2 linked regions of the Solanum lycopersicum genome follow. The protein of the gene in region 1 interacts with the protein of each later gene in a pairwise test. Links are inferred from orthologs where the notes say so. Each region holds a gene or a part of one and is shown in the gene's direction. Other genes may lie near its edges.

Region 1 (4,867 bases):
CTCAAATATCCTTTATGTTTTGCCCTCTTGCATATATTTTTTCGTGTATCCTGCTGTTTGCTTCTGTATACTTGTTGTTAGGGTTATAATGTTGAGTCCTCTTTTACCTCCATTCAACATGAATATGAAAAAATGAAGGCATTCATCCTTAGCTTTACCATGATTATTACCCCAATGCTTATCCGCGGTGTTAAATCTTTTTTCGCGTGCAGGAATTGCTTGTAACTGGATTCACAGCCATCGTGCTTTCCATCATCGCATCTTATTACAGATAGTCTACCTTCTACACTTGTTGAAGAAGAGATGCAGTTGCCTTGTGTTAGCTGTCAAATTTTGTAATTCTATTTGTTCCAGAAATTTGCCTTGTTTTGTCTATAGGATTTGATTGAGCAGCACTTGTAAGGATGCACCAAGTTCTGAGGATTCTAGGATTAAACAAGACCACAATCTTTTCAAAATTGATGGATGTTAATGTGGAGATATAAATGATAATGAGGAGGAAAGGTTAGGGCGGATCAATCCTTCATTTGAAAAACAGTCTTGAAATGCCCAACTCTACAAGGGTTGCGGGCTTGTGCAGGCTAGCCCTTCTTTATTTTTATTTTTTCCGTTCATTTTTCTAATAATTCTTTCTTTCTTTTTTTCAAAAAAAATCTAAATTCAAACTTCAAATTTTAACATGGCTAACAAAATTATATGAAAGTACATAATAGTTTCAATCATATCCTACTTTATGAATATGGTTAATGGTAATTCAAATTACAATTCCATATATAAGATCAAGAAAGGGAGAAAATTTTCAAATTGAAAATGATATTTTTTCAATACTTTTAGATAAAATCTACTAAAAGAAATATAATAATGATTTTTGACAAATAAATAACATAAATTTGAAAAAATTAATTTGTAACTTAACGAACAATTACCTCTTAAAACTTTAGTAATTTAATTCAAATTAGATAATACTTTTAACCAATCCCGACCGGGCGTCAATGAAGCCTCAAGGGCCAAACGCTTACTTGGATTGAGTCATAAGCCCTAGTTTCTTAAATAGGCTGGAAAAACCTTATTCTAATCCTATTCTAATAGCGATTTAGGTTGGACCGTCGCCATGGACTAACCTATTTTGACAGCTCAAGTAAAACCATTTGTGAATTTAACCTAGTCAAAATGTTTTAAAGCTAAAAAATTTCCCATCGTTAAACGAGGTCAAAAGTTTAAAACCATCTACTTTTATGGTCATCTCTCTTATAAATCATGAGAAAACTACTTTATTAGACATACATTCATGCCATATATACTAATTTTGTCTATATTTTTAAGTAATTAGCGTATTTTACCACTAATTAAGAGTTTCCTATTATATATTAGGAAGATACATCTAAATATATGTATATTTGCTACCACATACACTAAAATAGGGAGAGAAACGATCAAGATAGTCATGTATATCATATATGCGCGAATCACACTATAGGTATCAGAGATACCATAGACATAGGAGAGTGGCGAGTTAGATGGGAGGGCGGCGAGTGTAATTTATCTATCTCAAATACATGCAAATTCACTTGGATACAGTGTATCTTGAAAAATTTACACCTAATTTTGAAGTATCCAGATGCACAAAAATATGATAAGATTCGTAATATTACAAACTAGTGAAATTTCGGCAAGTCGAATTATTGTCATCCCATGCAAACAATCCATTTTTAAACCCAACAATGTATTGATGGGCCAAAATAAGCCCAGCCCACCACCCTAAACTATCCAAACCCAAATTCCAAAACAAGTCGAATTTGGAGAACTCATCGAAAGGTTACACTAATGGAATCTCATCAGCTTCGGAGCTAAAAACCGATTCCGAAATATCTTCTCGTCGGAGCGGAAAAACGCCGCCGCGGCCTGAATCTACTCTACCGGAGACCGTCATTTCTCGCCGGCGTATAGATTTCAGCTCATTTACAGGCAAAATCTGAGGTATACTTATCCAAAACCCTAGATTTCTCGGAGTCTCCCTTGGGAGACTGAAATAGTTAGCAAACATGAGGATTATGATAAAGGGAGGAGTATGGAAGAACACGGAGGATGAGATTCTAAAGGCGGCGGTGATGAAGTATGGGAAGAATCAGTGGGCTCGTATTTCTTCTTTACTTGTTCGTAAATCTGCTAAGCAGTGTAAAGCTCGCTGGTATGAATGGCTCGATCCTTCAATTAAGAAGGTCAGTTTTTTATTCTCTATTGAATTAAGCTTGTTTGTGAGTCATATCCTACTGTTGTTTGGTAGCTAGTAGATACATGTACAAGTTATGAGATAAATTGTTTTGTTATCTTATTGGCCTGCATTACTTACCAAATGAGTTTGTTCATATGTTTTGGTAAAAGGTTATATGAAAACTGTTTTTGATTGGTAACTTTTGCTGTGGAGAGGGTATAACAGTAGGTGACATATGCTCATAGTACCAGCTGCATGATAGGTATGAGGATAGGTTTGAATGTTAGATTTTGCGAATCATTGTTCAAGTGCCAAGGTAGGGGTAAGGTCTGCGTGGACTATACCATCAAAAGGAGACCACAAGTGGGATTATACCGGGCATGTTGTTGTAATTTTCAATTGTTGATTCAAAAGAGTGGCAGGAAGTGTGTGTTAAAGATGTCCGAGAAGGAAACTAGTTAGTGTGGAAGTTATTTTCCTCCAAAATTGAGTAAAATACTTCTCATTTCAGACCCTGACAACCAAATATATAACATTCTAGTTCACTGGGTGTTGGTTCTTTTTTCTTGCTTAGTTTAATGCGACATGCGAGTTATCTTTTTTTGTTATGTGTGACACCGTTATGTATTTGTTGATAGCTGTCACATTTCAGATTTCATCCTATTCCATTGTGAACTAGAGAAGTTCTGTTTTGTGAGCATACTGTGGCTTTGCACCAGTTTGTTTTTGGCTTGATTATTGGCATGCAAGATCTGAAACTAGTTTTCTGTGTGGAGATTTCTGTCTGAGTTTTTCCAATCTTTTTCTATTATTCCGTTTATCAATGACAGCTAATGATTTTCTGAATAGAGAAAGTGGAGAAGTCACAGTTTTTCAAGTTTACCTCAAGACTGGTAGGAACTTATGTTTTAGCTTAACCACTTCTTGACACAACTTACTGCTATTTTCTTCCAGACTGAATGGACTAGAGAGGAGGATGAAAAACTACTTCACCTTGCAAAACTCATGCCTACCCAATGGAGGACAATTGCGCCAATCGTTGGCCGTACACCATCACAATGCCTTGAACGTTATGAGAAGCTTCTCGATGCAGCATGTACTAAGGATGAGAACTATGATCCTAATGATGATCCAAGAAAATTGAAGCCCGGAGAGATTGATCCTAACCCGGAATCAAAGCCTGCTCGTCCTGATCCTGTTGATATGGATGAGGACGAGAAAGAAATGCTTTCTGAAGCACGGGCTAGGTTGGCCAACACAAGAGGCAAGAAGGCTAAAAGGAAAGCCAGAGAAAAGCAGCTTGAAGAGGCGCGGAGGCTTGCTTCTTTACAGAAGAGGAGAGAACTGAAGGCTGCTGGAATAGATGTCCGTCAAAGGAAGAGAAAAAGGAGAGGTATTGATTACAATGCTGAAATTCCCTTTGAAAAGAAGCCTCCTCCAGGTTTCTATGATGTCACTGAGGAAGACCGTCCAGTTGATCAACCTAAGTTTCCAACTACCATTGAGGAACTAGAAGGTGAAAGGAGAGTCGATAAGGAAGCTCGCCTAAGGAAGCAGGATATTGCGAGGAACAAAATTGCAGAGAGACAGGATGCCCCTACATCCATATTGCATGCGAACAAACTTAATGATCCAGAAGCAGTGAGGAAGAGGTCGAAACTGAATCTTCCAGCACCACAGATTCCAGATCATGAATTGGAGGCCATAGCAAAGATAGGTATTGCCAGTGATCTAATTGGGGGAGATGAACTGTCCGAAGGGAATGCTGCAACGCGTGCTCTTCTTGCAAATTATGCCCAGACACCACAACATGCTATGACTCCTATGCGAACACCTCAAAGAACCCCTTCAACTAAGCAAGACGCCATTATGATGGAAGCAGAAAATCAACGAAGATTGACTCAATCTCAAACACCATTACTTGGAGGAGATAATCCTTTGTTGCACCCCTCAGATTTCTCGGGTGTCACTCCTAAGAAAAGGGAGGTTCAAACTCCAAACCCACTTTTAACTCCTTCAGCGACTCCTGGAGCCACGAGCCTTACTCCTAGAATTGGCATGACACCTTCGAGAGATTCTTATGGGATGACACCCAAAGGAACTCCTATGAGGGACGAGCTACGCATTAATGAAGAAATGGATATGCATAGTAATGCTAAACTGGGGCAATTTAATTCAAAAAAAGAATTGCTTTCTGGTTTGAAAAGCCTTCCTCAGCCCAAGAATGAGTACCAGATTGTCATCCAACAACCTCCTGAAGAAAATGAAGAACCAGAAGAGAAGATCGAAGAAGACATGTCTGATAGGATTGCCAGGGAGAAGGCTGAAGAAGAAGCAAAGCGACAAGCATTACTCCGTAAAAGGTCAAAAGTATTGCAAAGGGAGCTCCCTAGACCTCCCATTGCTTCTCTAGAACTAATAAAGAGTTCCTTGATGAGAGCTGATGAGGACAAGAGCTCCTTTGTTCCTCCTACACTAATTGAGCAGGCTGATGAAATGATTAGAAAGGAACTTGTGTCCTTGCTAGAACATGATAATACCAAGTACCCTCTAGATGAGAAGCCAGAGAAGGAGAAGAAAAAGGGGGTCAAGCGAAAAATTGTTGCTGAACCTGCTATTGAGGATTTTGAGGAAGATGAATTAAAAGAGGTACGT
Region 2 (5,052 bases), on another chromosome or scaffold:
CCACCTTGGGTTGGACTAAACAGTTTCCTTCTCTCCTCTGCTTTCTCAAGTAGCTATACTCAGTCATAGGAGGAGCCTTTTTATATATAATAACAATAGTCTCCTCCCGTACTGTTTGACTGAACACGAAATTTAAAGAAATAAAAAATACTACTAAGAAGCAGTGTTATCACATGTTGTTACATGAATTTGAGGAATACTTTCCGTGTCTCACTTTAATATTATAAAGTGAATCTGCCTAATATCTTTGTTTAATCGTTATTATTGTCATCAAGAACAGTACTGACGGCGAAATTAATGATAGTTGAATTTTTATGCTTTGTGACAAGGTATTAGGCACCTAGCAGCTTGCTTTAAGATTAATGATGAATGTTTCCCAGTATCTTCATGGTCCTCACCTACTAAAAAAATTAAAATTACAAGATAAACGTAGTAGTTTAGTTTAGTTTTATTATTCAAAAATCCTAAACTATCAAGATAATCAAAATATATAATCAATTAAGAAAGTAACATATACTTACTTTTAAATCGTAGGAACTGAAGAGTGATCTCATAATGTAATTGAAATGATAAAGAGTGTAATTACAGTGTTTTTTTTTTTTAGAGTTATAAGGATATTTAGCTAATCTATACTTTCATTTGGAAGTGACTTATATGTCAATACTATTCTTTTATAGCCTGACTTTTCCTATTTTTTTAAATACCGTAATATAAGAATGATAAAAGTTACTTTCTCTTTTTATTTCTACTTATCATTTTTGAATTTAACATGCTCATTCAGAAAATATCAGATCATTCTATTCATATTAACTGATATTTAATAGAGCAATTTTCATATATAGCAAACATAAAAATTATATTTGTATGTTATAACTATAGTTTGCATAATTGCGCTTCATAACAAATTTTATGTTTGATATAAAGCTTTTGATTTGTATGACATCCAATTTTATAAAAATTGTTCAGTTTTGTATTAATTCATTTATATATTATAATTTGTATAATAACATCTGTATTTTTATAATTATAAGTTTATAGCAAAAATATTTGCATTTGTATTTGTATATATATTTTTCTCTCATTTTATACAAATAAAAACACATTTTATACATTTTATGTCGAAATGTATAAAATGATTAATTGTATACCGAAAATGGCTAGCTATATATCAAATTATATGGCAAAAAAGGAAAAGTTCGGTGCAAATTACAATTAAAATAAACTATGACTATAACATTTAACTTAGATTAACAGTTTGTTATTTTATATAATTATTTCTATTTAATATTTCTTCTGTTTCTTTTAGTTGTTAGGTATACTATAAACACTTGTAACAAAATAGTTGTGTTACACAATTAAAAGAGAATTAATTATAATTTTTCAACTTTACCATTGAAATTAATTATTCTAGAATTAAAAGACATATATATAAATAAAGATTAAAGAAGTATTAAGGGATATATTGGTCAAACAACATTCCTTAATATTTTTTTTATTAACGGTTATATTAAATTATATTATGACAACTAAAATAAAGTGCTAGATATTTTTAATAATTAGGAAAATAAATAACTTAACATTAAAAATAAAAATAAAGATCTATTTATCGAGAAGCAAAAATAAACGAAACTAAAAAAAAAAAGATAAAAGAAAAAATATGCTCTATTTCCTATTGGGGACTTTGGGATATTTACAAGGGTAAAATGGGAAGAAAAAGAATAACCTATAAAATGAAAAAGAATAAACATTGCTCCCTCCTCAGTCAGGGCTATTATACTCGCTGCTGGCTTATTACACATCGGTAAGAAGGTCCGAGCAATAATGGCGACAAAAGACGGCGACATTTTGATGCTAGAGGCCCCGCCGGAGTATCGTCCGGCGGTGTCTAGTAGTGCGGAAGTGATAGATGCGTTGCCGTACATTGATGACGACTACGGTGATCCCAATGTGAAAGAAGAGGTGGACCGTTTGGTCGAAGAGGAGATGCGCCGCAGCTCCAAAAAACCTTCCGATTTCCTCAAAAACCTCCCTCCTCTTCGTAAATTCAACTTCGAGGTTTCAATCTATACTTGCCTATACTTCTTCTCTTCAACTTTTTTCAATGTGAATTCTAGGGTTCCATTTTTTTTGAAGTACTCATGTTTTCCATAAGAATTAGCTTTATTGAAGGATTACAATTGCTACTTTGTCTTGAATTGTGTTGATTTGGTAACTGCTTGATGTGGCCATGGTTTTTGCTCATCTAATGAATGAATTTGTTTTAGAATCATCCTATGCTTGCGAGGGAATATGAGCGGGTGAGAGCTGGAAAACCTCCAGTACAAATAGATACTTCACGATATGGACTTGAGGTGCCGCCTGTGAACAAACGCAATGATGAAACTGCATGGAAACAATCTCTTCAAAAAGCTCAGCGATTACTGCAGCATCAAGTAATCAGGTAGGCTACCTGTATCCAGAGGTGAAAATAGAGGTGGTATTTGTGAGAGTTCCCTTTGCTAATTATATACTCATGGTTCTCAGTTTAAGCTCTCTTTTTCTATGATCAAAGCATTTGTCCAACAATTAGTATATATATGTCTGTAATCTAGATATAGCACATGATAGTTGATAACCTTTATTGGTAGGAAGAAACTTTTTGTATCAGTTTCTCAATTATCTTTAAATGCAAAAGAAATGGAGTCTGTAAGGCTACAAGGTTTAATAAAATAGATGTTGCAGTGAAGCATGATAAAGAGTACTTTTTTCAAAGGAATAGCTAATATATGGTGATTCCATAATGCATTTTTCAAGTAACTTCTTATTAAGAAGCATTATGTTTGTTTTGGCTTCTATGCCGAATCCAAAAGCCTGCAAGACGAGTGGCGAAACATAGTACTATTTGTCACGTGTTGGGGAGTGTGTTTGTATATATTTCAATGAAATAGGATTCTGGAGAACTTTATATACTATCAGCTTCAGCAGGTCATATCCTAACAGAAGACATGTGAATTTTGTCACTTTGTTACCAAAGCTTTTTACTTAGCTTTTGTTAATCAGGAAAAGTGTTTTTTACATCACTATGTCCTACCTGTATATGGAGGCATCTAGTACTTTGCTACTGAAACATTCATGCCTTCGATATATTTTGGTTAAAAAATTTCCCCTTTTTTTGTTTTGCGCAACTGTGCTAATTGCTTCTGTAACCAAAAGTTAACCTTGATATTTTATAGGCTAGAAAATCTGGATCTAATGTCAAAGCATGGTCCTGATGTGTGGAAGCTGTACAATCAACAACTGGAGGCATTTCTAGCCAGGTTCTTTTTCTAATTTTATATTTTTCATGGTGCTCTAATATGGCATATTTTGGCATCCTTATTTAACAATTTACTGATGCTGAGCCCAACTTGTTTGGGACAAAGGGGTAGTTGTTATTGTTCAGCTATCTCATCCTTAACAATGTACTGCTACTTAAGGAAAGAATATGATATGATCAAACAATTTCCCCTCTTCACTGCTGGTGCAATGTTGATTCAAAAGGGAGAAGTATTTATCACTGTATTTACACAACTGGAACCAGTTCTGCACAGTATTATTATGCCTCTTACAAAAAGAGCATGATTGCTCAACCTTTCTCCTCTGCATCCCTTCCATGGCTGATATCAAACTAATTTTCTGCAGAATGCAATCACAAGCTGCTGAACTGAATGAAATGATAGAAACAGCAAACAGGGAAAGGAAATATCATCAGGTATAAGTATCTTGTATCACTACTGATCTGTTTCTGTAGTGTTTTGCATTGTTCTTATTGATCTGTTCGCCATTGCATAACAGCAAACTACTGCATATGAGCTCAATGCGTTGTCCATGCAATGGAAAGAGCTCTGTCTGAAAAATATAGAAATCCAATCTGCATGTGGGGAACTACAAGACCACAGAGAACAACTGAAGAAGGAGGCTGAAGAGAGGTCGGTTTTTTATTGCATATCATTGATGCCTTTTATGGTTTTAATAGGCTAGCTTTTAAGATATTAACCTCTTTTACGGCAGGGGCTGGAATTTGGAGGCTAATGTTGAGAATGGCAAAATGCCATATGCAGAATTATGAGGTATTGATTTCGCTATTATTATGTTATGCTTAGTTTCTATCTCTGGATTAGTTATCAATGATATAAACATGTAGGGGGCAATCAGATAAAAAAGTGGGGGAGGTACAAGGGTGATTTAGGTTGAAGGAAATGGAGAATGAATTAGATGGTTGAGATGAATGTAAAGTATGACACGGGGAGTGCAGAATAGAAATAAAAAATTACAATTCTATAAGTTAAAGAGCCAATTGTGTGAGATGAGAAAGAAGATAAGAAAAAGAGAACAAAAAAAACTATGATCTGCAATGTTCTGATCTTTTCAATTTCCTATAAAATAATGTAACAAATTTTTAAAAAGAAAAATTCCATCATTTTTTTTCCATTTCCAGACATGAAAAAACCAATTCCTGGAATCATATTTCCTTAGCAAAATTCAGGTTGCATAGACAAGGTTTTATAAAACCCCGTGGAGGAAGATGATGATACTACAAAAATTGGGTTTGGCTGGGGGTTTATGTTTAATCACAGAGGCTGTAGGCCATGCTTCCTTCTTTCTCTTGTCAATTTCTAAGATGTGTGTGAGAATTGTCGGAACTAATATTGTGAAGGGAATATGTAGGTGTAGGTCCATTAATCATGAAGATTTGCTGCTGCTGGACTAAGCTGGAGAAGTTGCTCTAAGGTTTGAAGTCCTCGCTTTAGGTCAGTGTGATGAGGTTTGACCATGTCTTTTGTTGGCAATATTCTGTTAGGCATTGCTTTACAAACCTGGTGAGGAATGTGTCCAGTGTGGAAAAACGCATTGCCTTGCCCCTCTGTATGGACCATTTCTTTGTGCACATGTTCATTTCCTTATCTTGGTAACAGCTCTATTTATGAACATGTAATTGGTGAATGATCCGACTTGGAAGCAGACCCAATTTAGTTCAAAGACGACTTTTTTCAACTCAGCGGAAGAACCAATATCACCATTAGATGACTCGCT

What was found.
Region 2: the proteins of CDC5 (region 1) and pre-mRNA-splicing factor SPF27 homolog interact in binary tests that used the Arabidopsis thaliana proteins (3 or more experiments, as listed by UniProt). The link is inferred for Solanum lycopersicum from reciprocal best matches to the Arabidopsis thaliana genes CDC5 and MOS4.

Annotation. Positions count from the first base shown.
Region 1 is NC_090803.1:3,832,167-3,837,033, forward strand, and holds the start of CDC5 (CDC5-like protein), read left to right. Parts: upstream 1-1,834; 5' UTR 1,835-2,042; coding exon 2,043-2,219; intron 2,220-3,166; coding exon 3,167-4,861; intron 4,862-4,867. Other genes in the region: protein CHLOROPLAST J-LIKE DOMAIN 1, chloroplastic, read left to right, coding at 213-275. UniProt on the Arabidopsis thaliana protein: Component of the MAC complex that probably regulates defense responses through transcriptional control and thereby is essential for plant innate immunity. Possesses a sequence specific DNA sequence 'CTCAGCG' binding activity.
Region 2 is NC_090802.1:64,590,632-64,595,683, reverse strand, and holds pre-mRNA-splicing factor SPF27 homolog, read left to right. Parts: upstream 1-1,746; 5' UTR 1,747-1,821; coding exon 1,822-2,055; intron 2,056-2,264; coding exon 2,265-2,440; intron 2,441-3,212; coding exon 3,213-3,296; intron 3,297-3,660; coding exon 3,661-3,730; intron 3,731-3,813; coding exon 3,814-3,947; intron 3,948-4,029; coding exon 4,030-4,087; 3' UTR 4,088-4,088; intron 4,089-4,686; 3' UTR 4,687-5,013; downstream 5,014-5,052. UniProt on the Arabidopsis thaliana protein: Component of the MAC complex that probably regulates defense responses through transcriptional control and thereby is essential for plant innate immunity. Involved in mRNA splicing.